Linked DNA regions of Notamacropus eugenii. The protein of the gene in region 2 interacts with the protein of the main gene of each other region in a pairwise test. Links are inferred from orthologs where the notes say so. Each region holds a gene or a part of one and is shown on either strand. Other genes may lie near its edges. The genes, in order: NEDD9, NAB2, TCEANC and RFC5.

What was found.
Region 1: the proteins of NAB2 (region 2) and NEDD9 interact in binary tests that used the Homo sapiens proteins (3 or more experiments, as listed by UniProt). The two-hybrid records come from large-scale screens. The link is inferred for Notamacropus eugenii from reciprocal best matches to the Homo sapiens genes NAB2 and NEDD9.
Region 3: the proteins of NAB2 (region 2) and TCEANC interact in binary tests that used the Homo sapiens proteins (3 or more experiments, as listed by UniProt). The two-hybrid records come from large-scale screens. The link is inferred for Notamacropus eugenii from reciprocal best matches to the Homo sapiens genes NAB2 and TCEANC.
Region 4: the proteins of NAB2 (region 2) and RFC5 interact in binary tests that used the Homo sapiens proteins (3 or more experiments, as listed by UniProt). The link is inferred for Notamacropus eugenii from reciprocal best matches to the Homo sapiens genes NAB2 and RFC5.

What each region holds. Positions count from the first base shown.
Region 1 is NC_092875.1:182,734,880-182,742,078, forward strand, and holds the start of NEDD9 (enhancer of filamentation 1), read right to left. Parts: upstream 3,003-7,199; 5' UTR 2,925-3,002; coding exon 2,913-2,924; exon of another isoform or gene 1,543-2,912; intron 1-1,542. UniProt on the Homo sapiens protein: Scaffolding protein which plays a central coordinating role for tyrosine-kinase-based signaling related to cell adhesion. As a focal adhesion protein, plays a role in embryonic fibroblast migration.
Region 2 is NC_092874.1:232,432,195-232,439,401, reverse strand, and holds the start of NAB2 (NGFI-A-binding protein 2), read right to left. Parts: upstream 3,022-7,207; 5' UTR 2,650-3,021; coding exon 2,567-2,649; intron 1,054-2,566; coding exon 195-1,053; intron 1-194. Other genes in the region: uncharacterized protein, read left to right, coding at 4,678-5,328, 7,146-7,175. UniProt on the Homo sapiens protein: Acts as a transcriptional repressor for zinc finger transcription factors EGR1 and EGR2. Isoform 2 lacks repression ability.
Region 3 is NC_092876.1:377,331,213-377,338,401, forward strand, and holds the start of TCEANC (transcription elongation factor A N-terminal and central domain-containing protein), read right to left. Parts: upstream 3,014-7,189; 5' UTR 2,577-3,013; intron 2,395-2,576; exon of another isoform or gene 2,197-2,394; intron 847-2,196; exon of another isoform or gene 628-846; intron 1-627.
Region 4 is NC_092875.1:27,516,216-27,524,041, forward strand, and holds the start of RFC5 (replication factor C subunit 5), read right to left. Parts: upstream 3,016-7,826; 5' UTR 2,858-3,015; coding exon 2,790-2,857; intron 1-2,789. UniProt on the Homo sapiens protein: Subunit of the replication factor C (RFC) complex which acts during elongation of primed DNA templates by DNA polymerases delta and epsilon, and is necessary for ATP-dependent loading of proliferating cell nuclear antigen (PCNA) onto primed DNA.

The DNA.
Region 1 (7,199 bases), on a different chromosome or scaffold from region 2:
TTAGAGTTTTTTTTAAGTAAGGGGAAGGAACTGGATCTGTAATTTTATCTATATAGGGAATTCCCATTGAAGAAACTCCCTTTACTCTCGCAGGTTGACAGTTTATCTGTAATTGTACTGAGCTGCCTGGGTCATTAAGAGGTTAAACAATTTCCCATGGTCAAATGGCTGGTATGTTTCAGATATAGGATTTGAACACAGGTTTTCCTGACTCCAAGGTTAGCCCTCCATCAGTGCTGTCATAACTCTTTTCTGTGTATATATACAATGACAAGATTCTGGATCCCATTGGTGAGTAGAAATCTAAGTTCTCCTTCTTCCCCAAGGGAGCTATCTTGACCCTGTGAGTACTTAGAGCTAGGCTTTGATGGACGTCAGCCCTCTAAAACTAAGGGAAAGGAAAAGAGGAAACCAGGGAGTAGAAAGTATATTTCAAGTTAGCAAGAGGCTAACTTGAGAGAAACTGCCCCTAAGGATGAGGACGAGTTGTTGAATGGAAAAATAGTGGTTTGAAGAAAAACCATCATGGAAATGGGAGCCAGGGTTGTAATAATGGGAAGTGGCCAGCACCAATACAGGCCTCAAAGGCAGGATCCAGGTGCCATGAAGCAGATCTAGGCAAATCCTATTTTACTGGACTGTGCCGCAGGGGCAGTCATAACTGGTGGTGATTACTTGCCACTAGACTTAAATGGCCCCCCCCAGCTCACCAGTGTCTTCTGTTGGAATGTTCATCTTGCATTCACTGTGACTTTGAGTGAGAGGAAAGTCTTCTGCCAAGCTCAGCACAGCGCTTTTACTGACAAGTGAGCTTGAGGCATCAAAATGCCTCAAAATATCCTGACACCAAGATTGGCCTTAGAAAAATTGGGCATCAATAGAGCCATTTGCAGTAATTGAGGTCCACGTTGAATCTGAAATCCAGTGAATTCTAAATAGACCTGCTTATTCTGAAGAAACTCCTTCAGTAATGAATAAGCGGAATGAAGAAGACATTGATCTACAATTGACATTTTGTGATATTTTAAAATGTTTTCTGCTCTGAAATGTTTAAGGATTATTGAAACCTTCTCCTTTCCCCTGCCTCTCCATTTTCAGGAAACCTGGAATCTGTTCCTGAAGCTTATGTTTGATTCTATAAACCTGATTTTCCTTCCTCCTCACCATGTCTTCAATTGTCTTTTAAAAAAAAAAACTGTCACAACATTGTTAACCATATCATTAGGGACTTGTTTTTCTTCACTAAAATGTATCAGAGAGAGCAAAAGACCAGGGGTTGGGGGTGGGGTGTTGGAGGCAGGTGAGAATGAGGGAGATAAATTTTACAATTACAGGGCTATTTCCTGGCCTATAGGCTCAGAATGAACAAAAGAGAATTGTTGATTCAATTTTATAACTTAACTGATGCAGAGAGAGAAACTTAAACCTGAATCATTATAGGTAAACTCGTCAGCAGCTTTGGTTGGGGGAGGCTAAGATAAAATTCTGGTATGGGAGGTATATCTTGACTCCTTCCTTTTCCACTGTTTTTTCCCCCTGTAGGTATGGCTTATAAAGAAAACCAAGTCATGCCAATGGGGTGAAGCCAAGGGAATAGCCTGAGAAAGTAATTTCTGAGAAGAACCCAGGGAATGGCTGGAAAAGGGGAAATCAGATTCATACAAAGGTGAAAGGTCAGTGACAGGGAATGACAACGCTGCCCCCACACCCCATTAGCTCAGCCTAACATATACTACCATTACCACTACTGCTTGAATAGTATAATATATATTTTAGTACTAGGAAGTTAGTTTTCTTTTTTGAAAATAAATTTTTACTGACATCTTTCCTTTTTTACATCTCCTAGGCTTCCTCTTAGGTAGCTAGGTGACAGAGTAGATAGAGTGCCAGGCCTAGAGTCAGGAAGATTTGTTTGAAGATTTGTCTTCAAATTTGGCTTCAAACACTTACTAACTGTGTGACCCAGAGTAAGTCCCTTCGCCCTGTTTGCCTCAGTTTCCTTATCTGTAAAATGAATTAGAGAAGGAAATGGCAAACTACTCCAGTATCTCTGCCAAAAAACATAACAAAACCCAACAAACCCTAGATAGGGTCAGCAAGAGTCAGACACAGCTGAAATGACTGAACAGCAATAGCCTTCCTCTTGTATATCTTCTCCATCTAGAGAGTTATCCCTTATACCAAAGAATTTTAATAAAAAGAAAAAGAGTAGAAAAAAATCTGCAAAACCAATCCATACATCAAAGGCAATTAACTTTCAATTATCCATAAGGCAGAAAGCTCATATAACAGACCTTAACAAAGAGTCTACAAATCCCATCACAGTCAGTCAATCTCATTTCTCACCAAACCATTAAGCATTACTGACACAACACTGTCTGTCCTAAGTAGGAAAAGTGATTGAGAATGATTTTTGTAAGATATGACCCCTTCTTCTCCAGGACTTTGTTTAATGATCAGCAATGAAATCTTGTGTTCATCCCCAAGGAAAAATAGAAGAATAAAAAGTAGGGGAGACATCAGAGATCCAAATCATTCCCAACCTGGGGAAATTGTTCCCTGAATAAGGCTGCAATATTTAGATGTTTTTAGCCACTAGCCCTAGTTCATGGATTATTCTTGAAATATTTCAGATTATTCCCTGTCAGATTTTAGAATGGAAGAGGCATTTCTCCTGGCATTGCCTTGACCATCCAGAGAATTCTCAGATTTGTTGTCCGTGTTAAAGACTCATCACAACAAAGTCTCACTGCCTAGATCAAAATTAGTCCTTTTATTCCAATATTACCTAAAAGCCTTGGTGGAATTGAGAAAGTAGTTTGCATTATCATTTCACTGATATTAGTACACCTGTTGAGTCAACATAGATAAGTAGTACTTAAATAAAATATGTCTGTCCAATCACAACTTACTGTTTCCCACATTTTTCTCAGTTCTTCTCTTTGTTAAATCAGGGAATGATGGGGCTCTGGAGTAGGAAGCTAGTGACTCCAGGGTTTCAATTCAATTACAGATTTCTTCTTTTTCATAGCTCCTCAAAAAGCTTCCAAAAGCAGGTCTCATGTTGGGGTGTGGGGTCATAGAAATGATCATCGATGGCTCCTGAAAAGAAAGATTGAAAGCTTGAAAGTGGGAAATAATAATGAAAATAATAGTTTGTTTTTCCATAGAATTTGGGAGTTTTCAAAGTGCTTCCTTCTCCCCTCTTTCTCTAATAGAATGTAAGCTCCGTAAAGGTAAGACTTTCTTCTTTGAACTCCCAAAATATATCACAGATACACCTGTAGAATACTTGGCACATTGGGCAGGGGGAGGAAAAGTGTAAGCAAGGTGGGATTCTTTTTTTCTTGGAGTTCAGTTTCCCAGGCTTATACTAAATTGTAAATATCTGAAGGATCAATCTCCTTTGAACCCTGGTAATTCATAGCTGTGCTGAGTAACAAAGGTTTGGTGCCTTCTTGCTCTGAGCTTATTAGTTAAAAGGGTATATATATACATATATATATATATATATATACACACCCTTTTATACATATATATGTATATGTACATGTATGTATACACACACACACATATATATGTTCTGAGGCAAGATACTACCTTGGGGGGGCTTGCTCATATAAGGATGTTTAGCCATTATTAAGGAGCCCCCCCAGCTGTGAATGTGAATCACTTATCAAGGCTTGAAGAGGAGACCTCTGATAGAGAGAAGACACCTCTGATACCAACCCTTGTGAGAACACTGAAACACTGGACTGGAATAAAGTACCAAAGGAGAGTGTGGGCTTAGTGAGACTGGATTAGTTATCTGTTGTTTTCTGGTTAATGTATTATTTTGCTGTGCCCAGAGCCCAGACTGGAGTAACCCTCTCCCCATGTGCTGGAGGAAGATAAGCTGTCATGGAGTTGGGGTGGTACAGGCCAGAGTACCTGGACCCAGGCAAGAGCAGGTAGAGCTTGGAATGGAGCAGTCCTTTTTCCCATGAGGTGGGATATGGAGCAGGAGCAGGGAGCTGTCTGCATGTGAACCCAGGCAGGATCCAGGAGTGGTCGGACCCTGAAGGAGGAGAAACTCCTCTGTTCACAAATTAGCCCTGTGTCAAGATGGTGACTTTACAACAGGACAGGAGCAGTGAGTATGCTTTCCTGCCGTGTGCCCCTGGGTTGACTTGGGACCCAGGGAAGCGGAGTTGTCTATGGTGGGATGGGGGAAGTGCTGTGGTCCCCTGGGACCCACCCTGTTGGCTTTCTCCCAGCTGCCCCTCAGGACTTTGAAGCGGAGACTGGAACAGTGTTAGGATTTGGACTTGGACTCTCTGGGCTCATCAAAGCATGTGTGCACCCGAGAATGCCAGGTGGGAGCCTGCAACAGCAGTGTGGAGAGAAAGACATACCCCCCAGAGGACTTGTACATTTTGTTCTGAATTGAGGGGATCATAACCTATTGTGACCTAGGGGTAGATGGTGTTATATTTTCTGCTACCACTGGGGATGTGCTGTGTAAGGGAAGACCTTGGCTTGGGATCTCCTGATTGTATAACGCTTTGGTTTCTTGAATAGGATTTGGTTTTGAGTAAATAGAGAGCTTATTACTTTGCAATTCAACCCTAAATAAATATACAAATATATTCACAGCACCTGCCCTCGGGTGTGTTGCATTGATTGGCATTACAGGGGGAAACATAGTAAATGCATGTTGAGTAGAGTAGAATTGAAGTAGGTCATTGCAAGATTTCTCATATCCATTTAAAGATGAGGAAACAAGCTCAGGGAGAAAAGTATACTTGCCTGTATTGACACATTTTCCAACACTTGGGGATCTTACATTTGTTGTATGGGACCATAGTTCATTTCCTTGGAGAAACAAAATCAAATGTTGTGTTTGTTTGTTTTGTTTTTAATCAGACCTGTGATTTCATTAGTGTAATGAACTCCAGAGAAAGAAAGCCTCTCTACTAATACAGGCCAGCCTCTGCTCTGAAATGTGTAATCATGGAAAATTACCTATGAAGTTAAGTGCCATGCCCAAGGCCATATAGTCGTTATGCTTGTAAGGAAGGGAAACTCTCCACCTCAGAGACATGATTAGGTTTTAAAGGCATGTGAACAGGATTGTCTGCACTGTGTGATTACTTTATCCATGTGAGAACTCTTTTGTAATTGGGTGGAGAAGTATACAGTATGTGTAATTAACCAGAACAATCTAACCATACCCCTGGGGGTCTTTAAGTAGCTGGAAAAATTTTAGCACTTGTCCATTAAAATAGTGGACTGGTCTAGTGGTAGAGGATTTCATTTCAGAGGATTCCAGCCAGGCTCTTCTCTTTCTCTCTTCCCCATCCCCTACACTCTCTCTCTCTCTCTCTCTCTCTCTCTCTCTCTCTCTCTCTCTCTCTCTCCCTCCCTCTCCCTCTCTCTCTCAATGACCATGTTAATAGCTAGATGGGATAGTAGCATCTAGAGCACACACTGGAGGCAAACATGGCCACATGTATATAGAGAACTAGCCAGCCAGCAGAAGGATGAAGCAGTTCCAGGGAACATGACCTCTTGTACTGGAGAAGAATGCTGACTATGGACTCAAGGAAGGACTTCCAGTAATTGAGAATTACAAGTTTGCTCTTAATCCACGTGTTCTCTACATGTGTGGCTTACCATCATCCTACTCTTCCCCTGGTCTCTGTGTATTTGTGAGAGAATGTACCACTAGTTAGGTGGCAGAGTGGATAGAGTGCTGGACCTGAAGTCAGGAGAACCTGAGTTCAAATCCACCCTTAGATACTTGCTAGTTGTATGACCTTAGGCAATTCCCTTCACTTCTATTTCCCTTTACTCCATTGAGTGAACATCTTCCACGGATGTTGTGAGGATCAAATGAGAAATCTGCAGTGCTTATCATAGTGCCAGACATACAGTAGGTGCTTAATAAATCCTCCCTCACGCCCTCCTCTTCCTTCCTTCCTTCCTTCCTTCCTTCCTTCCTTCCTTCCTTCCTTCCTTCCTTCCTTCCTTCCTTCCTTCCTTCCTTCCTTCCTTCCTTCCCTCTATAAATACCCTTTCCTCAAAGCTAATTGAATTTCGATGGCTGATGTCAATGGGAAACACAGTTGTGGAGTGGGTGAACAACAGTAGTAGAAGTCCAGCCATTCAGAATTACCCTTAGGGCTCTGAGCATAGTAGCAGCCACCCTCTAGGTGCAAGTTGGAATTGGGGAAGGAACCTCAGAGGGATTACACTATGTGTCAGAGACAGAATTTAATCAGGTCTTCCTGATTATCTCCCTACTGTGTATCAGTGTTTATACAGAATCTAGTGTTTCTTCCTTTATCTTCTATTGTTACTTAGTTGTTTTCAATTGTGTCTGATGCATTGTGAGCCCATTTGGGGTTTTCTTGGCAAAGATACTACAGTGCTTTGCCATTTTCTTCTTCGGCTCATTTGATTCACTAAGTCAAACATGGCTAAGTGACTGATCCAAGATCACATAGCTGATGAGTGTCTGAGGCCACATTCGAACTCATGTCTCATGACTGTAATCTCAGTGCTCTAATCACTGAGCCACCTAGCTGTTTTTATTATCTATCCTACTGCAATGGCTCATTTTATTAGAGCAGATTAGAAAAGATTGGGTCTTAGAGTATATGAGGTCTAAGGGAACTTTGAAGTCAACTAGTCTAACTCCTTTATTTTAGAAGTGAGGAAATTGAGGTGAGTAAGTGAAACGAATGGTCCAAGGTTAGATGCTTAGGAAACAGCACCACCCATACTTGAACCCAGATCTCCTGATTCTCTTGTCCAGAGCTCTTTCCATCACCATATGCTGAACATCCTATAAACTGGAGGACTCAGTCCCGAGGATGATTTACCCCATTCCCTTCTCATTCTTCCTCATTTAGAGGGATGCCTTGAAGTGTTCGCTCCTGTTGGCTTGAAGCCCCCAAGCCCCAGCTGAGCAGTCTGTCTTGCACGGCAGTCAGTGAAGGTCACACATGGCTGTCTGCTTTCCGTGTTTCCTACAAATGAGTAAAACTGATGCTTTGGCAAAAGTTTCTTCAGACAGCTTAGATGCAAAGTACAGAAGTTGCTTTTTCCTGGGGAAGAAAAATTGACGGAGCTTTTGGTGGATGGGTGCTGGCCAAGGTTTCATTTCCCTTTAGCATTGTGCTTCAGGTTTTCTTTTCTTTTTGTCAGAGAGGAAG
Region 2 (7,207 bases):
AATGGTTCTCTTTTATATCAAACTTTTCCATTCTGGTGGGGATGAGGGCTTCTGTCAAGTCAGGTATAGGAGCCAACAATCTGAGGAACCTATAGGTACTGAAGGAGGTCAGGGATTTCTAGAGATTATAGCATGGGCAGGGGGAGGAGGGGAGAAAGGTCAATGAACTCTGAGGGGGACCCTGAGGTCCTTACCTCATGCAGACTGAGCTGTTTGCCTTCCCTGCGCTTGGAGTCAAAGCGTCCATAGATAATGCTGTACTTTCTGATTTCTTCCTCTTTGTGACTGTCATTGTCATCCATCTCAAAGATGTGCCCTACACTTCGAGCTAGCTTCTTATTCAGCTTGAGGAGGGACGTCACCTCCCCAGCGTCTCCCCGGGGGAAGTTCCGGATGAGACGTTCCACACTTTCGATTACCATTCTAACCATTTCTGGTTCTAGTCGATCTGAACCACCGCCCACCCCACCAGACCCGGGCCCTTCTGAGACCCCACCCCCAGCAGGTGGGGAGAAAGGAGGAGAGCTGGCCTCTTCCTCTCCACCAGCACCAACGTCCGACTCGGGAGTGCTCCCGCCTGCCCAGACTCGAGGATCTCCACCTCCCTGGCCCCCAGGCAAGGGAGAGAGTTTCTCTCCTAGTTCTAATGGACTCTTGGGGCTGAAGCTTCGGGCACTGCCCGCCTTGTCTCCTGGGCTTCCGTGTCCATTGCTCATGCTCCCTTTTCGACCACCTGCTGTCTCTGAGATCTTAAAGAGAGGGATGCTGGAAACAGGCACAGCAGGCACAGGCTGACTGAAGAGCCCTGGGTTGGTGGCCCATTCCCTTAATGCCTTTTGCAAACGTCGGACATGGAGAGGTTTGGTGGCCATGCCCACCAGTGCCATGATCTCCAGGAATTCTTCTTCTCCTGCCTCACACAGCTGCTGAACGTCGTCCCCCCCCTGCTGGATGAAGGTCTCATAGTAGGACAAGAGGTTGGCACGCTGCAGGACTCGATACAGCTGCAGCTCCCCCAGTGTCCGGGGTAGTGCCATGGTTGGAACACTGGGCCTAGGAAGGGGCACACAGGAAGAAGATAGGTCAAGGAAGCTCCCTTGGTTTGTCACCAACCCCTCAGTCTATTTTTCCTCCTTGTGAATTGAGAGTTTCTACATTCTGTGTAAGGTTCATTATTCACCTGCTCAAGCTGAAGACTAAGTAGATCTGGGAAAGTGGGAGCTATCCAGAAAGAAGCCAATATACCATGGTAAACTTGCATCAATTAAGAAGTATTTATTAAAATACCTACTATGTGCCATGCACAGCTGTGCATCTGCCACAGCAAATAACAAGTGCTGGTGCCTAACCTCAACAGGACCCAAGGCCCCACAGTCCTCATTCTCTGCCTTCACTCATCATGCTTTTCTCTCATCCTAGCATCAGAAATCCATGGCAGTTAGTGCCACATTTAACTGCCATGCCAGTTAAATTGAAGCCAGTATATACCTAGTATGGCCAAGCACTCCTCCCTCCCCAACATACTCTACAAGCCTCTTCTACTGAGTACACAGTAATATCAAAACTCCACTCCCCAACCCATAGGACATCTCTCTGCTTCTCAGGGCATGACAGAAAGCACCTCTGATCTGCTCTACTTCTCAGTGGGCTTCAAGAAGAGCTCAGGGAAAATAGGGCCTCCCCCAGCCCCAGTTCTCTGAAAGCTGAGCTGAAAGGGGTGTGGCTCATCCCCTACCCACCCAAGCAGCACTTCCCTTCCCCCACCAGCAACTTCCAAGGCCTTGACCTTCTGTCCATACTGCTCCTTTTCTGAGTGTCCCCGCTCCCCATCTTTGTAGTGACCTTCTTCCACCCCTTCTATGGCCCCCAAGGCCTCCCAGGCCCTGGTGCCAAGGGAAAGAAGGATAGGGGTGTATTCATTGTTCCCTTCAGGAGCTGTCCTGCCCACGCAGACTTCCACAGTGGCTGAGTGTGTGGGTGCAAACGCCCCTGGGGCCCCCACCTCCTACCTCCCACCTCTTCCCTATTCCTATCCACCTCTGCAGAAGAGGAGGGGAGCGAATGATGGAGGGGCTACAATAGAGGCCCCTTGCACTCAAGCTGTGTACAAAGAACCAGAAATTAAGGGAAATTAATGCATCCCTTTCTGTCCTAGGAGATAGCTCTGTGTTCTCTTCCTTCAAAGAGGTCTGCTTCTAGCAACTGAAAAGCCTGTTTTCTCTTTCTCGTGCCGTCCTAAAGCTAAACCAGTCGGGGGCGCCGAGGCCAACCCTAAGCGATGGGGCTTGCCCTAGGGATGGAGCTTCCTAGTTCCAGATACCAACTACCCCGTCAAGCTGTGCCTGGGGCAGGAAATGAGGGACTAGGTAATATTCTCCTTATACTCGGCACTAACAGAGCCCTGGGCCTCCTTTTCTATGGACTCACAGCCCCCACCCTTTTTCTCCTCACCTTCATCCCACTCCCTCTCGATTCTGTTTTCTTTCTGAGCTCCCCATACCCAGTCCCCCTCCAGAATCATTTCACTGCCTGCCCAGCCCAGCCCAGCCCACTTCTCCCCACTCACTTGGCTCTGGGCTGCGGGGTCCGGCGGGCGCTGTCCCCTCCGCCCGGCGGCTGCTCAGCAGTAGGGGAGGGCGCCCTGTGCATGGACGGTAGGAGACCCTCCGGGGTACCCTTGGCGGTTTCCAGTACTCCTCGCTCTGCTCCAGGAGCTCGGTGCCCAATACCTGGTGCCCAGTGCTCCGTGTAGTGTCCGCCGCTGTCCGGGCTCCGTCCCTGCCTCCACGTCTCCTCTTTCTGTAGCTGTGTCTCGCTGCCTCTGCCCCCCTCCCCGGCTGCGCTTACCGCCTCCTCCCCCGCAGGACGCACGGGGGAGCGGGCCCGGCGCTGCGCTGGTTGCCGGGCGGGCTGGGGGCGTGGGCAAAGCTGGAGGCGGTGGGCGGGAGCCGGGACCTCAGCCCGGGAGAGAGAACGGAGAAAGAGACTGGCCGAGCCAGGAGGAAGTTAGGGGGGTGGGGGGTGGGGAAAAGGAGTAGGCGGTGGAAAGACAGAGGCGGGGGCGGATGCGGGGGCGGAGGCGGAGGTGGGGTAGGGGCGGGGACTTGGGGCTGGGGCACCGAGCAGGGGACTAGGTGACCCAGGCCCGGCTGGAGAGGGCGGGCTAGTATCTTAAGGGCGGGACTAGGAGCTTTCTCTGCTGCCCACTCCGGATGCAAAACCCGCCTTCTCTCCGCCCCCGCCCCCACGTGAGTGCCCAAGCAGGCATCCATCCCTGCCCCCCAACTCCAGCTTCCCAGACCCTGCCAACCTGAGAGTGGAGTTCCACTACCACGCACAGGTACGCACAGAGACAGCTACACAAACACAACCACACAGAGAGACACATGCAGAGTCACACCAGCCCCCTACAATCTAGGTCCCTTGGTTCCTAGACCTTCTAGTGTTAGCTTAATGGGGAAGAAGGATGGAGATAGAGACTCGCAGTGTGTGCACTGTGAGACGGTATTTCTGGAAAGGGTCTTCTGGGACAGTATCATCGTCCGGCTGGAAACTCATCTGGTCTCCTACCTTTTAATGGAAAGCCTTTTGATTTTGGATTAGAAGTCAGTTCTAATCTTTCCTCGGCGGCTAGTAAGCCGTATGACCTTGGGCAGATTCCCCTACCTCTCTCCCTGGGCCTCAGTTTCCTCCTCTATTAAAAAAAAAAGCATGATTTTCTCATTTATTTAAAAAAACCCAACTAGTGGGTTGAAAAAAACAATTGCTATGTGTTCCTTCCAGATCTGAATCTACGATATCTCCGAAACCAGAAGGTAATTTTAGAATAGGGTTTAAGGATTTCTGTCACCCTTAGAGATGCTCCCTGACTACATATAACCTCACCCTGTTATTCTGTCTTAGAGGTTTACAGTGGTGTTTGTTATGATAACAGCGGTAGAAATCGGCAGAATGTGTACTGATAATTCTAGGACCCACCAAATAGATTTGTTTACATTTTCTAATGGATACCAGTTTGTTACTTCATAGGGTCAAAGATTGGTTTGCTATTGTGAACCGCGGGACTCTTACTTGGCTTTTAGGCATACCTCAGGTAGTATACCTCAGATAGTAAATTGGAGTCGCCCCCCCCCCCCCCCCAATCCATTTTCCTTTTTATTCATCACTTCTAGTTTATTTTCCTTGGGGCAAACTTCAGCTTGGCTGTTCTACACCAGAAAAGTCATATCCTAAGAAGTAAGGCAGTGCACTGAGGGCATCTGGGGGGAGGCAGGGGGTCTTTTCAGAGCGCTTGGTGATACAGAATAGCTAAATGGCAGGAAATAATGTGTGAAGTTTTCTATATGGGATGGTCTACAGCAGAATTCTAGGGGTGGAGCAATTTCAAATAACCGCCTTTATCCAGATAGTCTTCTCTACCCCCTAACCCCCTGCCTCCCCCATTTCTTTCAGCTCCATATGGTTTTTATTACACTCACTCCCACGGCTGGAAAGGGGGGGGAAGCGGGGGGTACACACCCCACCCCACTCCTCAGGACTCGAAGATAATAAGGGGGGGAACAACAAAGAGAGGAGAGGCAAGCAACCAGGAGAGGACAGCCTTTTCCCCAGCCTCCAAGCCCCCAGACTCTAATTCCACATGCCCTAATTTTCAACAGCGTTCACGCAACACTTGAAATGGACGGGTGGGCGGTGTGCCGGGGAGGGTTAGAGGCACCGGGCGCACTTTCTCTACTTTCGTTGGGTCTACATTCCCTGGAGGTTGGGGCATTTCCTGTCGGGGTGGGGGTGAGACTTGAGCAAATAAGATTGTCCCCTTCACCCTCTCCAAACCACAGGGTGCCCAACATGGGGCGGAGGGAGCTGTGTCCGTCTGCTGGTGGCTGCCCTCACGAGGGTGGGGGGCTCCCTGGAACGCCAGCCCCGGCGCGAGCGTGGGTGGACCCTCCCCCACCCCTCGGTTATTTTTGGGGCCTGAGCTGCCAGCCACCGGCCCCGGGTTTCCACGTGCCCCCCTTCCTGCCCACGCTCCCCATGACGCACATCCTTCCACCCCCGCAGCCTCGGGCTCTCGGCGCCCCCTCCCTGCCTCCTTCCCTCCCACCCGGACGCCCTCTGGAGGCGCCGAGCCCCTGGGTCCGGAGGGAGAGCCGGGAGCGAGGAGAAAGGAGGCCTGAGTCGAGGGCTCGGGGCAGGGCAAAAGAGGAGGTTGGGACGGGACCCGGCCGGGGAGACGGAGGCAGAAGGCGGAGCCGGTTCTTCCTTCCCTCGCCCCCTGCATTCCCTGCCTCGCTGCTGATGTGGGGCAAGAGGAGTTTGGTAGGGACGGTGAGAGCTGTTAGTCCTTGAACTCCCCAAAGAAAAGGAGGGAGCGCTTTCCCCCACACTGTACCCACTGAGGTCGTAGGTTGTATCTGCCGAGGGGGTAAGTTGTGGCAGGGTAGGACAGTGGTGACAATTACTTGGCCTGGAAGGTGTCCTGAATGTTTGAGAGTGTGACTGTATCTTTTGGGGTTGATACTGTGTGTCGCTGTCCAAGTGAATTGTGTGTTCTAGATGCGTGTTTTTGTGCTTGTGAGTGTTTGTATCTCTGGGTTCTTATGAGTGGATTTTGTTATTTTTCAAAATCAATGAATTGTCAGGCTCCACCTTCGGCCACAGCCGCCCCCGCAGCCAGAGCTGCTGAGATGTCTGTTCTCCTCCTCCTCTCAACCATCCTCCAATTCTCCTCCTACTCCTTTCCTCTGAGAACAAGGATTTTCCAGACCTGAGAAAAGGGAGAGACAAAGAAACAAAAACTGGGCCTTAAGAAGCTACATAGAGACACAAAGAGAAATAGAGACAGTAACCAAATTAGAAGCCTGTTCTTTCACGGGAACCAAATGAAAAGAAAAAAAAAACACTTTCTTTATAAGCTTTCCCTCTTCCTCACTCCCTAAACCACTTTCTTGCCTGATTGGGAAAAGGGCCCATTTTTTTCTCTAAGGTCCCATTTCGATTGGTTTTCAAAGCAGAAATAGTGAGCTCTTTATCAGTTTTGAGTTTTCGTATAATGTGCAGTTTATTACATTGGGGACTATACTATTTGTTCACAGACTAATTCTTCCCTTTCCCTGCTTCCTCTAATTTAATTCCTTTTACTAAACATTCAGTAAGTACCCTTGTAAGGCAACTACTGCTTTGTAGAGCATAATGCTGGGTAAGATAGTTCCTACCATTCTGGAGGTATGAGGATATGAGACATAAGTAACCACAGTTTAAAAAATAGCACTTGCTAGGTACTTAGAGGAATTGCAAGAAAAGTGTTGAGTGGATTCTTGAGGGGAAAGTGCTATTAATGACTTAGGGAATACGGAAGGCTTTCTGAAGGAGGTGGTATTTCAATTTGGCCTTAAAGGATAGCTAAGATTTCAAAAGTTTGGGGTGGGTGGAGAAGGGTATTCCAGGCATGGATAATATTGTGTGCGAGAAGAAATGGAGGTGGGGAAATAATAATAACTAACATTAATAGAGCTTACTATGTGTCAGGCCCCGTACTAAGCACTTGACAGTTATTATCTCCTGATATCCTTACAGCAACCCTGATGGGTAGGTGTTATCTTTTTTTATGGATTAGGAAACTGAGGCAAACAGATTAAGTGACTTGCCCAGGGTCGTATCTCTTTTTATGTAAATAGTATTTTATTTTTTCTAATTACATATAAAGACAATTTTCAACATTCATTTTTATAAGATTTTAAGTTCCACATTTTTCTCCCTTCCTTATATTGGGAAAGCAATCCGCTATATGTTATATACGTGCAGTCAGTCACATAGCTCTTAGAAATGCTGGTTGTTCACTAATCCAGATTTGTGTGAGGATTCTATAAGGAGGGAAGTAATATGAATTGATTTAGAGAACAGGGACCCAGGATCTTCAAGCCCAGTTTCCTAAGAAAATGCTTAAGGAAGAGAAAAGCAAAGGATGGGAGGAGGGGAAGTGTTGGAGAAGAAATGGGCAGGGAAACAAAAAGCATCACCAAATGAGTCTCATTGCTTACATGGATTTCTGATCTCACTGGCGTGTGTACTCCCTCCAGTGGTTCAGATCGTGGGTTCTCTAGATGTTCTCATCCCGCATAATTCTTGTCTGTGTTCTTCCCCAGATGCTCCTCAGATGTGGTGCCTTATTGTGATGTGGAAGTGACCTGTGGTTCTCCAAAGCTAT
Region 3 (7,189 bases), on a different chromosome or scaffold from region 2:
AAAAATTCTAGAGATTTAAGATCAAACATAAATTCCTGTTTGACCTATCTTCATAACCTGGTCCCTTTATACCTTTCCAGTCTTTTTACATATTATTACCTTCAATGTTCTCTATGATCCAGCCATTCTAGCCTATTTGGTATTTCACACACATATAACTGCATTTCCTGTCTCCAAGTCTTTACATGGGCTGCTTTAGAGGTCTGGGATGCTTTCTTTCTCTTTTAAATTCTGCCTCTCATAATCTTGATTACTTTTCAGCTCCAGCTCATATGAAGCCTCTCTGAGAGTTTACTCCCTATCAAAATGACCCTGTATTCATTTTGCATATACTCTGTATATTCTTGTATGTACATTGCCTCTCTGGTAAGCTTCTTGAGGACAGGAGCTGATGTTTTACTTTTGTTTCTATGTTCCATGAATAACAATTGCTTAATTCTTGTTGATTAGTGGAGAGAGAAGCTCTGCTTTGGTTGAAAAGTGTCTGCTGTGTCAAAACAAAAATTATCATTTTTTTAATAAATAAAATGGACTCAGGAACCTAAGCATAGCTCTCTAGTATTAGGGAACTCCATACTAACTGGAGAAAGCTATATACTGCTAAGCATGCTATAAATCTGTAATTACCTGTCTATACATAGTGGGTAAGCTTATATCATCTTTCCTGTCCTCAGGCGGTGGCAACAAAGGTAATGACAGCATTATCATACTTTGTCTGCATTTTCTAGTTCCTCAGCATTTATGGTTACATGGTAAGTCTTCGAATTATACTGTGGACAACTGGCCTTTCAGGGAAAGTGTCTCTTCAGAATTTTGTCGCGCAAAAAATCCCCAAAAACTACCATCCTGTAATGAGAATTGACAGAGATTTCTTTGTATGGGACAAGGTCTGCAGTTTTATTTTTTAGCAAGAGTTTTTTATCCATTTCCTATGAGGTTTTTCCACACTTAACTGATAACAGAAATGTTTTTTCTGCATTCTAGACTTTATATTTCTTCCTAGTTACAGAGCAAGTTTTACTTTGTAAACTAAAGAACTAAAAAGTTCTTTCAAGGGGGTTCCTATTTCAATTGAACAGTAATGAACATGGTTACAATTTGGAGTAATTCTAGGAAGCAGATAGTAAAAGTTACTTGTAAGTACACTGTGATGTAACTAGCTCCAAATATATCTAAATAACCAATCATATGTATTTTCACAGCTGCATCCTCATATGACAAGCTGTCAATGATGGAAATACCTATTGGTGAAAGGCTCCCCTCAAAGTCTAGGGGCAACAATGCTGGGGGACCTACAAAGGATGATCTTCATAATCCTGCCTGTCACTTAATTACCTTAACACTTCACTTTGTTTTGAGAAATGTAATCTTTAACTAGATTGCAAGTTTGCTTAATCTCAGAAAATGGAATGAGGACGGGTGGTATAAAATCATTGAGAACTGTATTCAATGAAAATGTTTCTGGTAACATATGGATGAAGATAACACAGTCAATCCTGGCTCACTAAACTACACTTCCTATTTTTTAGCTCACTTCCCACCCTTAAGAGTATGAAACTCAGTTGAGGCTTTAAAAAAAAAATCTGAGAGTAGGGACCGGTTTGTTCGGCTTTTTTGTGACTTCCCCAGAGATCAGCCTAGCATCTGACATAGAGAAATGCTTAAAAAATGTGTTGAATGATAATCTAAAAAAAATTCCACTTATATTCCCCATCTCCCACCATCCCCAGAAAAAAGGCTCTACCCCTTGTAGACAAACCTTTGATATGACCTTTATTGTAACTTTTGTCCCCAGTATTGATTTTAACCTGACTTCACACATGCGTTGAGGAGGTACGAGAAACTGACTAAAAACTCCTTTTCTTATCTCTCACACTTCATAGCATGGTATTGGCAACACTGTACAGGTCCAACATGTCTGGAAAACAGATCTGCCTTTGTTCTTAGTAACAGCAGCATGCCCGCTCACTCTACAAGCTGCATGTCAAGGTGGGGGTTCCCTCGCTGGAATACAATAAAATCTCAAATTTAAAATCCCCCCCCACCTTCAAAAAGAGTTAAAAGAGAAAAATTCCTTTCTAGTTGCTGAAACTCAGACAAAAGTGTGGGAAATTAAAAACTTGAATAAAATGGAATAAACAATTCCACAAGAATTAAATATTTTTGAATATCGAATTTTAAACTTAGCATCCTCACCAGTAAAACGAGGGGCGGATTCAGGGGCTTTTAAGATCCCTTCTAAGTCTACATCTAGGAGTCCGTGGAAACTAAAGCAATCTCCAGCCCGAGGCAGCGGGACACCGGAAACGGGAGGAGGGGCAGAATGCAACGCCCGTCCCCCGCGCCAAGCCAAGGCTGGGGGTGACCGGAGAGGTCACAGGACGGGGGGGAGGCGCGAGAAGCCTGGACTGCGGCTGCGCCCTTCCCCTCTTCCCCCCCCAACCCCCACCTCTGCTAGGAAAAGGCGGGGCCGTAACCGTCCCCGAGCTCCCTTCCCCACTGCCTCGTTAGCGTCCAAGGGGAGGCTTCCTGCGGTTCGCCTTTCTCCCCAGGGCTGACCCTCGCACCCTGCTCACCTGTCCGCAGGTAGACGCGACAGTTAGGGGAAGCTAACAGCCTGCCGGACACGACTTCTGCTCACAGAGGGTGGGAGAGAAAGGAAGAAGAGGATTGGAGAGAAGGGGAGACGCTCAACCAATCAGAGGAGCCAAGGCGAGACGCATACGTGATTGAAGCATGCGCAGTGCGATCTACGGAGTTTTCTTCCGCCCGTCCTATCAGTCTCTTTGCTTCCCGTTTCTGTGGATTCCCTGCCGTGCCTTCCGACTGCGTCATCTCAGTCAGGAATAGGAATCTCCCTTTTATTTGGCCCAAGATCCCAGATGCACATTTAAGTTGAACCTAATAACGTCAGCTCTCCGTGACTACGAGACTTCCTCACTTAAATCCAATTCACTTGCAAGTCATGACGTCACTTTCCTGATGCTTTGAATGACGGACTGACAGCCGGCCAGACCAGAGGAAGGGAGCCCCTTGAGGCGGGGCCTAGTTTTTTGTTCTTGATTTAGTGCCTGGCACATTCCAGCTGCTTAACTCAGTGTCTGTTGGACACCTTGCTATAAACCTGGATTGTAACCAGACAGGAAAAAAGATGCCTCTTCCGTTAGAAATTGGTTGGGAAATATTTCATCTCAAGTTCTTTCTGTGGAAGGAGCACATGTTTCTGAACGTTTCTCGTTATCTGAAAGGGCAGGCAAATACAGGCACGAAGTTAGAATTTGCCTTTGGGGAAAATATTTATTGGATGGCATCTCAGTGTTGAATCCCCTTGGGGGTTCATAACCTGGGGTTCATGAACTTAAAAAATTGTATAACTTGCAATAGAACTGGTTTCTTTTGTAATCCTACAAAGAAAAGATTGAAAATTAGAGATCCGTGAACGTTTATTAAGTGCCACTATATGCCAAACACTCTGGGGATAAAAAGAGAGGCAAAACCCAGCAGTTTTTACTCTCAAGGAACTCATAGTCAATGGGGAAACTTTGTGGAAGAGATGGGAGAGTTTTGACTTAGGAGGAATTGTAGTAATCAGAAAAATATATATTTGACTTAAGAGAGTCTTGCTATTCTAGCTGAGTATGGACTCACAAAAGAACTCAAATAGCACTGAAATTATGAGATGATTCGCAAAAGAGCTTTAACCATTCCTCTGTGGAAAAGAGGCCCCCGGCAGTGGAGAAGTAGCAGATGGCAAGCTCTATTCAGTAAAACAGCCTAGTAGATGACATCATCAGCGCGTTGGTGAAGTTTTTTGGTGAAAACAGTTGGGAGTTTTGGAGGTCTAGGGCATAATTCATCTGGGGCACAATCTTAGGATTCTGAGTTGGTCAGACCACTTTGTTCCCTCTCCCATCAACGGTATGGGAATCTGTGAAAGAGTGTGCCTGTTGTATATGGGGAAGTTTTTCTCATTATTTTCCAAAGCTATTAAATGGCTTTGTTTTGAGTCAGAATATCTTCTCAAAAGAGGGAAGTATCAGGAAGCCTATTTGCTGTGGAAATGAATGGATACTAACATAAAGTTTACCTTAAATTTAGGTGTAACTGGGAGAAAAGGTAGGGAGGGCTATGCTACAATTGAATGACTTCTCTAGGTCATATAAATCACCATTTAGAAGTCTTACCAAGTATTTACCTTTATTTCTATCACCCTACTCTCCCTTATTCCTAACATCAACTGAGTCATTAAGGTAAAATTCCAAAGTTCCAAAGATTTAACTGGACAATGTACTGATAATAAGGCTGTGAGGATAAAAGGGGTGTGTGTGTGTGTGTGTGTGTGTGTGCGTGTGTGCGTGTGTGCGTGTGTGTGTGTGCGTGTGTGCGTGTGTGCGTGTGTGTGTGTGTGCGTGTGTGCGCGTGTGCGTGTGTGTGTGTGTGCGTGCGTGCGTGCGTGCGCGCGTGCGCGTGCGCGTGCGCGCGCGTTTCTCTGTTTCTTCTTAGCAAGGGAGAGTGAACAGGAGAAGATTTTGCTGAGATGAAGAGATTGGGACCTGACAAAGCTAGATTAGAAATACTGGGATGAAATGGAGGAAAATGAGGTTTGAAACCTTTCAAAATCATTTTGACAGTGTGCAGTGACTGATTTTGATAGACTTAGAAATGCAGGGACCTAAAACAATTTCAAAGGATTCATGGTGGTAATGCCATTATCATCCAGAGGAAGAATTATGGAGCTGGAATGCAGAACGAAGCAGACCATTTTATTTTTTTTGTTTTGTTTTTTCTTTCTCATGTACCCATTCTTTATAATTTTTCTATGCAACATGACATACGAAAATGTGTTTAATAGGAATGTATGTGTACAGCCATATCATATTGCATGCCATCTTGGGGAAGGGGTGCGGAAAAAATTTAAAACTTATGAAAGTGAATGTTGAAAACTAAAATAAATTTTAAAAATCATTCCGATATTTTAATTTAGACATCAGCAACAATCAGTTTGTGGTAGCATATGGTCCTTATTGCTATAGTCCTTGGCGAGAGTAGTTTGTATCGTCTTTTGTATTTGTTACCTTCCAGTCAATTTGTGTTGTTACCTCCCAGCTTCCAAACCAACCAATCCAATCAAATATTTACTAAGTGCCTTCTCTGTATAAGACACTCTGCTAGGCACTGGAGATAATTTTTGAAAAATGGGAACCATGCTGCTCCTTCTGAGCTTCTGCTGACAATATACTGTCAGGATGTAATATGTAAACAGGTAAAAACATACATTAATTGGAGTAAGAAGGAAAAAGTACTAACAACTAGGAGGTTCTATAAGTCTTCTGAATATCAGCTGAGCCTTGAAGGAAACCAGGGTTTTGAAGAGGTAGAGGTAAGGAAGGAGTGCATTCTGGGTAGAGAAGATAGCCAATGTGAAAATACAGAAAGCAGAGATAGAATGCCCATTTTGGGAAAAGGCTGAAACGTAGACTGTGTGAATGGGACTAATGTGCTTTAAACCCTGGGAAGCTAAATCAGAATTCAAAAATGAAGGGCTTTATATTGCAAGGTGAGGAATTTATTGTTGTTGTTGTGTTTGTCCTTTGTTCCTGAAGAGGATTGTGACCTCATGACATGACTTTCAGTAGACTTTGATTTGAGTGAGGGAGGGCTGTGCAAGGTCACCAATCTCACTTTCTTCTCCTTAGCCATCTGGGTCCAGTGGCATGGCATTCATCAGGACAGCCAGAGATGGCCCAGAGTTTATAGGTTATCTTGGAAGCAGTAGGGAGTACCTCACAGCTCTAGAGCAGGCCAATGATACTGTCAGACTTGGTTTTTAAGGAAGGTTATTTTGGCAACTGTATGCAAGATGGATGCAGGGGGTGGGTGGACTGGGTGGGGTGTGTGTGAAGGTGAGGGTAGGGGTGAAGGGAGGAGAGACTGATATCTGGGAATCCAGTCAGGAGGCTACTTCAGTGGTTCAGGTAGAAGGTGACAAGGGTAGTTTCAATGAGAGTAGAGAGGAAGGAAATATTGTAAAGATAGAAGCAGTAAGTCTTGATAACTGATTGGAATTGGGAGGTTCAACAGAGAGGAAAGAATTAAGGATGGTGCAGAGTTTGTAATCCTAGGTGACTGAAGGGATGGTGATGCTTTCCTTTATAAACTCTGCTCCACCTCTTCTCTTCCTTGGGCCCCCGTTGCCCTTATGTTTTTCCTTCCTTCCATGTCCAAGTGGTTAAAATGATTGAATTGTTAAACTGATTATTCACCAGCTACCTGGAAGACTGCTTAGTGCAATTCTTTGCAAGGTAAAGTACTCAATAATTATTGAAATGAAAATTTCTCTAGGGGTATTTACGTTTTTGTCAACAACATATACATTGTTGCATGAAATAGAGTTTATTCTTATGGTGTAGGTTGGCTTTAAATTATATTAGATAAATTTGTGATTAAAAAATACTATTGTGTCAGTACTGTACAGCAGAGGGCAGCATTATGCTCACTTTTTGAAAAATAAGAACTTTGACAACTTGCAACTTGAAATACGACTTAAAAGCAGACTTTTTCCATTTTGATTTTGTTAGCATAGATTGTGCACTATGAATCAGTAACTACTCAATAAGACACTATTTTTTACTATTTAAAATATGAAATAGCAAAATGCATTTCTGAAGTTCATTCTCATAAATTAGGAGGGGAGATTACTGGGAGAATTATAGGAAGATGGCCTTTTATTAGGACCTAGAGAAGCCCAGATTCTCAAAACATCCTCAGTAGAATTCTAAAACTGCAGTCCTACACTCTACAGGGAGAAAGGCCAGTGACCAGCACAGGGCAGCCTCAGAACCCTAGCTGCAGCAGGACAGGTTTGGGAGCATCGTTTAATTGTACAAGGTTGGGGAACTTGTGGAACTAGAGGTCACATGTGGCCTTCTAGGTCTTTCAGTGAGGCCTTTTGACTGAGTCCAAGTTTTACGGAACAAATCCTTATATATTAGGGGATTTGGTCTGTTAAGTTTTAATTCAGTCAAAGGGCTGCACTTGAGGACCTAGGGAGTCACATGTGGCCTTGAGACTGCAGGTTCCCCACCCCTGAAGGCAGTGAGGATCCAACTCAGCCTAAGTCTAAACCATAACAGGAGACAATGCCAAACAATTTCTGCCACAAACAGAGTTTAGTCTTAGCCACACCACT
Region 4 (7,826 bases), on a different chromosome or scaffold from region 2:
GGATGTGACTCTGTCCTGGTTTGTTCAGCAGGATGCCAGTGGGAAGTCAGGAGGCAGAGAACAGGAAAGATCCAGGGTTACTGTTTGGCAAGATAGGGGCAGCAACAGAGGCAGCTAGGGCTCAGTGGACAGAGTGGTGAGACTGGGGTCAGGAAGACCTACCTGAATTCAAACCTTACCTCAGACACTAGTGGTCTGATCCTGGACAAGTTTTATTGTAAAACGGAGATTACAACAATACCTACTGATCCAGGGTTGTTGTAAGGATTGAATGAGATAATATTTGTAATATACCTGACACACAGCCAAGTGCTTAATAAATCCTCCTTTTCTTCTAACAGGACAAAAGTGCAAGAGATTCAAGAGCAGAGGAAGGCTTGTAACTGAACTGACTAACTAAAGATCAAAATTGGGAAGGGAAGTGGAGCTGGAATGGGGTGACGGCCTGGGAAAGTGCACTGTGGGGGTCATGGGAAATATGAAGAAGAGGCTTAGGGAGATAAGTTATGATTAGAGAATGGAATTTTACAATTTTTATCGTGCATATGCAGCCTTGTATATGTACCATTCCATACCACTCTTCCACCTCTGCAAAGAAGGGAGGGAGAAATATTTTCTCAACTCTTCTCCAAGGTAACACTTAATCATTATAAACTAAAAAGTATTCAGCTTTTTTGGGGGCGGGAGAAGTTCTGTTTATTTTGTGCATTCATTAAGAGCTTGTTAAATGCCAGGAACTAAATCTAGCAGAAGAGACAAAAATGGCAAAGACAGAAGCAGTTCATGCCCCCAAAGAGCTTACCTCAGGGCACAGGAGACAATGTGTACACATAAACTGATACAAAATTACATAAAATAAACACAAGGTAATTTTGGGGATGAAAGGGGGAAGCACTAGAAGTTGTGGGGGATCAAGAAAGACCCTGTCTGTAGCAGGAGAGCCCACCTGGCTGAGTTATGGAGGAGGCTGGGGATTCTGAGGGATGGAGGTGAAGGAATGCACTGTAGGCTTGGGTACAACTAGTTCAAAGGTTGGGGGATGGAAAATCATGTGTGAAGGACATTAATTAGGTCAGTATGACTGGATTGCATAAAGGGGAAAAGCAGTATACCAAGTCTGAAAAGAGAGGCTGTGAAGAGCTTTAAGTGCTAATCTAAGAAGTTGGCATTGGATTTTGGAGGCAAAAGGGCCCCCCTGGAGCCCTACGAGCAAAAGCATGACACTGTGAGATAGAGGCTTTGGGAAGATCACATTGGCATCTGGGGGCAATGTGGGCTGACTGTGAGGAATCTGAAATGGGGTTGAGGGTAGGGAATGAGGAAGCTTCAGCACATGTCTAGGTGAGAGTTGTTGGGGGTGGAAGCAGAGACAGGACATGCAGTGGAGGTAAGGCTGACTAGACTCGGGAGTAGGTGGGACATGCAGTCATTGAACTTTCTTGATTCTGCTTACTTTACTCACAAGAACACCTACATCTTTCCAACCTCCTCTAAATTCTTCCTATTGTTTCTTATTAGTGCCTCTGTCTTTCAGCAGACCCTCCAACACTGACGATGCTATCATCTTGGCCAATCTCTGGGTGTGAGATAGAACCACAACATCTTGATTTACAATTTTACTTTTAGTGGATTTGGAATAACCTAACTCCTTCATTTTATGGAAAAGGAAAATACCCAGTCAGGAGATGGTAGTATCTTTCTATGATGGGTGAGTGCCACTGGATCTGAGTATGTAGGTAAAGGGCAGTAAGGTGAAAGGAGACTAGAAAGGCAGGAAGAGTCTAGGACTGGAGACAGGTAGATCCACTAGCAGGCTATTACAACAGTCCAGATATGAGCTGATGAGGGTCGCCACCAGAGTGACAGCAGGAGATAGAGTGATACAGAAGAGGGCATATTTGAAAGATGCTGGAGGTGAAAATGACCAGAGATGTTACAAAGGTGAAATGGACAGATGCTGCAGTGGTGAAACTACCAGAGATGTTGCAAAAGTGAAATGGACAAGAGATGCTGCAGAGGTGAAACTGACAGGCCATGGTACCAAACTGGATCCGGGGGGTGATAGTGAGGAGACCAGGATGACTCCTAGGTTGTGGGTCTGCAGGACTGGGAGAATGGTAGCACCCTTGAAGGTCACAGGGAAGGTAGCAGGTAATGAGGAGAAAATAAGGAGTTCTGTTTTGGACATACTGAGTTTAAGATATCTGCCAGACAACCAGTTCCAGATGCTTGAGAAGCAGTTGGATATATGAGACTGGAGGTCAGTAGAGCGTTTGGGGCAGGAAAAGCAGATTTGAGAATCATCAGCATAGAAATGATAATTAAATCCAGGGGAGCTGATGAGGTCACCAAGTGAAGTGGTGCGGAAGGAGAACATAAAGAGGGTCCTGGACAGAGGGTGTGATCTGAAGGAAGATCCAGCCAAGTCCGAGGCTGAGAAGGACCAGTCAGATAAGGAGGAGGCCCAGAGAGGGGGGTTCCCTGAAAACCTACAGTGGAGACTGTCAAGGAGGGGGAGGGGCCAAGAGCGTCGAGCCCTAAACCGATGACCCTCCGTCACTTTCACTGTTCTCGGCCCTGACCTCACTCGGTGCTCTCTGGGATCGCCCCCACCTCTAACTCTAAGCCCCTACGTGTCCCTTCCCGGGCCTCGGTTTCCTCAACCGTCCTCTGGAATCGCCCTGGGTTCTGAACCCAGCCCCTTGCCCACCTAGGCGCAGTCCCACGCCCGGGTCTGTCTCCAGGCTGCGGGATCCCTGCCCCGCCCCGCCCCGGACGCGGCCCCCTACCAGGGCAGGTTCCTGCTTTTGGCCGCAGGCTGCTGCTGTGGCTGCTGCCGGACGGCCGGGGCCTCCATGGCGGCGCTGACCCTGAGCGGACCCACAGACCTAAGCGCAGCGGGAAATCGGCTAAAGCGCGGCCTGCATCTCCTTTCCCGCCACAGCTCGCGCGCGCGCGCATGCGCCGCCTCTGCTCTCGCGAGACTTGACCAGGCCACCGAGCCCGCCCGGCCCCTGCTATTTTTCTTCCCAGACACCCCTTCGGGAAGTTCGCCCCGCCCATTTCGGTTGCTAAGGCTGGGAGTGGGTTGCTAGGTAACCGCGAGGCTCGCGTCGTGCGCAGGCGCAGTCAGGCCGGGCCTGTCAGAGGCAGGGGCTGGGGACAGAGCATCTGGTCCTGCTGCGTGGCCAGGTCCGGAGAGGCTCGGGCGGAGAGTCTGTGGTAGGAAGGGAGAGCGAGGTCCGGCAAAGAGGGTGAGGGTGCAGGAAAAGCAGGGAGCAGCAGGGATGCATCAGGGGGACGCCGCATGAAAGGAGTCCACGTGTCTGCCTTCCTTCCTCCCTTCCTCCTTCCCTCCTCCCTTCCTCCTTCCCTCCTCCCTTCCTCCTTCCCTCCTCCCTCCCTCTCTTCCTCCTTCCCTCCTCCCTTCCTCCCTTCCCTCCTCCCTTCCTCCTTCCCTCCTCCCTTCCTCCTTCCCTCCTCCCTCCCTCTCTTCCTCCTTCCCTCCTCCCTTCCTTCCTTCTCTCTCTCTCTCTCTCTCTCTCTCTCTCTCTCTCTCTCTCTCTTTCTCTCCCTCTCTCTCTCTCTCCTCCTCTCTCCCTCCCTCCCTTCCCTCCTCCCTCCCTCCCTTCCCTCCTCCCTCCCTCTCTTCCTCCTTCCCTCCTCCCTCCCTCCCTTCCCTCCTCCCTTCCTTCCTTCCTTCTCTCTCTCTCTCTCTCTCTCTCTCTCTCCCCCTCCCTCCCTTTCTCCCTTCCCTTTTCCCTCTCTCCCTCCCTCCCTTCCCTCCTCCTTCCCTTCCTGAGGATATGGGGATATATGGGGATAATGACAGCACCCACCTCATAGAGTTGTGAGGATCAGAGGAAGTCATATTTACAAATGTACCTAGCACATAGTGGGTGCTTTAAAAATCTTTATTCTTTCATTTATTCATTCCCTCCTTCCATTATTAGTGCTTTTATTCATTAATCATTCACTCATTCATTTATTCCTTCCTTCACTCTTTCATTCATTTATTCATCCAACAAGTCGTAACTGCTCTGTGCCAGGCACTGTGCTAAGTCTTGGAGATATCAAGACAAGAAAGGAAAGAGTTTTGCTTTCAAAGAGCTAGCATTCTATTTTTTTTTTTGAGAGAGGATGCTTGGTTGTTCTATGTTTGCTTCCCCTATATCTAGTAATTAAGTCTTCTTGATTTTTACCTCCCCAATACCTCTTGCATTGTCTCCTTTTTTACTATTTTTATAGCCACCAGTAAGTCAGTCCAATACACAAGCATTTATCAGAGTCTTATAAGAGCCAGGCTCTGTGTTAAGCATTGGAGGTACAAAGAAAGGCAAAAACAGGAACACAGGGCCTTGCCCTCAAGGACCTCACCTTCTAAAGGGAGAGACAATGTACAAAAAATTGCACATACCATATATTTATTAATAACAATTAGTATTTCTATACCACTTTATACACGTTTCATTTTATCCTCAGTAGGTGCTATTATCATCTTCATTTTACAGATGAAGAAACTGAGGCAGACAGAGGTTAAATGACTTGCCCAGGGCCACACGGTTTGTAAATTTCTGAGGAAAGATAGGAACTCAGATCTTCCTGACTCCTCATCCAAGGTTCTATCCACTGTACCACCTAGCTGCCTCATATGTATTATAATTTGGAAGGATTCTATCTGGGGTGGAATCTGGTATTTCTGAGATTCCATCCCAGATGGAAGACTCTAGAAATGAATAGTTTAAGAAAGGTTTCCTGCAGAAAGCAGGATTTAAATTGAGCCTTAAAGGAAACCAGAAGGTGACCTAGGAGGAGGTCACCTCTTGCTTGAACTTTTTCAATGACTACTGTCTCCCTGCTCTACCTTTCCCCCAACTTTGGTCTCCTTGATGGAGTGGAATAATTGCTGGATTTGAAGTCTAAGGACCTGCTTTCTAACTGAAGCTTCTGCTACTTGATATGTGTGTGACCTCTGGTAAGTCACAACTTTCTGGTCCTCAGTTTCCTTATCTGTGTTATAATGCAGTTAGACTAGAGGATGACTAGATAAAGGTCTTTCCAGCTTTAGATTTATGATGTTATAATCAACTTCAATACATCATCCACACAGTTCTCAAATGAATATTCCTGTATCATCAATAAGACCATGTCACCACTATGCCCGAGAGATTCCAATGAATCCTATTCCCTGTAGGTTAGAACTCAAACTCCTTAGCTGCTGCTCATTTTTCCTGGCTGATTTTATATTACCCTTGTTCACATGAGCTTAATTCAGGTCAAGTCAGCTAGCATTTTTTAAAGTCCTACTATGTGTCAGATGCTATGCTAAGTGCTGAGGATATAAAGACAGAGAAACAAATGGATGAATGATTGGATAGATGTTTAGTTAAATAAATAGATAAGTGAATGAACAAACAAATGAGTGGATAGATAAATAAAACCAGTCCCTTCTTTCAAACAGTTCACAGTCTTAATGGGAAGAGCCAATCTGGACATCTTGCTGTTTCCTAAACTTGACTCTCCAGCTCCCATCTCCACAATTTTGCACAACCCATTCCCCATCTTTCAAATGCATGCCCTCCTCACTTCTGCCTCTTAGAATTTTTTACTTTCCTTTGAAGTTCCGCTTAGGTGCCATCTCCTCTATTAAACTTTTTCTGATTACCTTAGTGGTTAAAGTTCTTTTCTCCCTCAAATTATCTTGTATTTTAAAATGATGAGTATTGCATTCTCTAGCAGAATGTAAACTGTTGGAGGGTAGGGGGGTGTTTTGTGGCTTTTCATCCCTAGTGCTTAACACAATGTCTTATGTATAGTAGATACTTAATAAGTGCTTGTTGAGTTTCCTTTCCTGGCAGAGTTACAAGGATGATAACCATCTTTCCATCTACCCTCTACTTGCTATTGCTCTGACTAGAGACCGTGCCTTAAAGGATCTGGGTCATTCTACTCTGAATCTCTTGCTCTGAAGCCTCTGTGAACCAGACTGGTGAGAGTCCACTCTGGCCGGTTCTAGATCTGGCCATTCTTCATTCTGGTCATCTTGCCATTTGACTCACCATAAAACCCATTCCCAGCTGTTGATCTGGGGTCAACATTGCCATTACTTTGAAAAAGGTGCATCAAACATGTCAACCAACTGTCCTATTGTCCAACATACCCATCATGTCTGTGTTTTCCCAAGCCAAAACATCCTTCCTTGGCTACCACTCCCCTATACGTGTTGCCTCCCACTCATAGAATATAAACTCCATGGATAAGAACTCCTTCAATTTTGTATTTGTATTTCCAATCAGTTGATCAGTCAACATTCATTTATTAAATGCTGTAAGAGCAGGCATTCTGTTAGGTTTCAGGGATGTAGCTACAGCACAGTGCCTGGAACGTAGTGAGGGCTAATAAATGTTTCATTTCACTCATTCATACCTCAGTTTCAGCAAAGCACTTGACAAAAATCTTTCACACTATTCATGTGGAAAAGATGTAGCCCAGACAATAGCAAAATAGTATGATTTCAGAACTCATTGAATGTTCAGAATCAGAGTAATCATTTATAATTTGATGTCCTATATGTTCTAAAATATTTGTAACAGCTCTCTTTGTTTTGGTAAAGAACTGGAAACTGAGGGGATGTCCATCAATTGGGGAATGACTAAACAAGCTGTGGCGTATGATTTGATGAAATACTATTATGCCATAAGAAATGATAAACTGATTGATTTTTAGAAAAACATGGAAAGACTTGCATGAAATAATAAAAAGTGAAATGAGAAGAACCATAAGAATATTGTATATATAACTGCAATATTGTTTGAAGAATAATTGTGAACAACCAGATTAGTCTGAGCATTATAAATACTCAAATCAGCTAAAAAGGGCCCATGAAGGAAGATACTATCTACTTCCAGAGAAAGAACTGATAAACAGAAGTATGCATAGTATAATTTTAGATATATTTATAAATCTGTGTTAAATAGTGGCTTTCTCTAGTGTGGGATGGGGAGGGAGGGAGGAAGACAGTTTGGAACTGAAAATGTAACAAATAAATAAAATTTAAAAAATATCTTGGTGTCACCTTGAAGGGAGGTTTCTAATGCAGAGATATCTGCTTAGCTTTGTAGCCTTGTACTAATGTTTGAAATCAAACACTTGAATGAAGGCATCATTTAACAATTTAATGCAGCCCTACTGTGTGTAACACATTGTCCTAGCTTCTGGGAATATAAAGATGAAAACAAAAACATTTGAGACCTCAAGAAGCTGACATTTTTCATCGAAAACCTGCTTATCAAAAGTGCAGATAGATGACATGAAACTGGGGAGGGGCAGAGACACTATATTGAACAATAATATGGAGAATTACAAATTTTGCAAAGTGCTTCCTATATACTATTTAAACCTCACATAACCTTGTTAGGTGTTATTATCTGCAGTTCACAGATGATGGCAAATGAGTCTCAGAGAAGTCAAGAGATTTGCCCAGGGTTACAGAGCTAGTGAATGTTAAGGACAGAATTGGAACCAGAGTCAGGGGCCTGAAATCTCCTGACAGCCTAGAATAGTTGTGTTACGTGGCTCCTTCTATACTCTTCTCTACCTATTTTTAAATGTTTCACAGCTGCCCTTTCTTATCTTTTCTTTTTATTTGCATCATCATCACTGTTGTCCCTCCTCCAAATAAAAACCTTTCCTTGTAACAAATAAATATAATCAAGCAAAGTAAATCCACACATTGGTCCTGGGTGAAAGTGCATGTCTTTCTGTACCTCTAGTCCAGGGGTGGGGAACCTGTGGCTTCAAGACCACATGTGGTCACACTTTGGTTT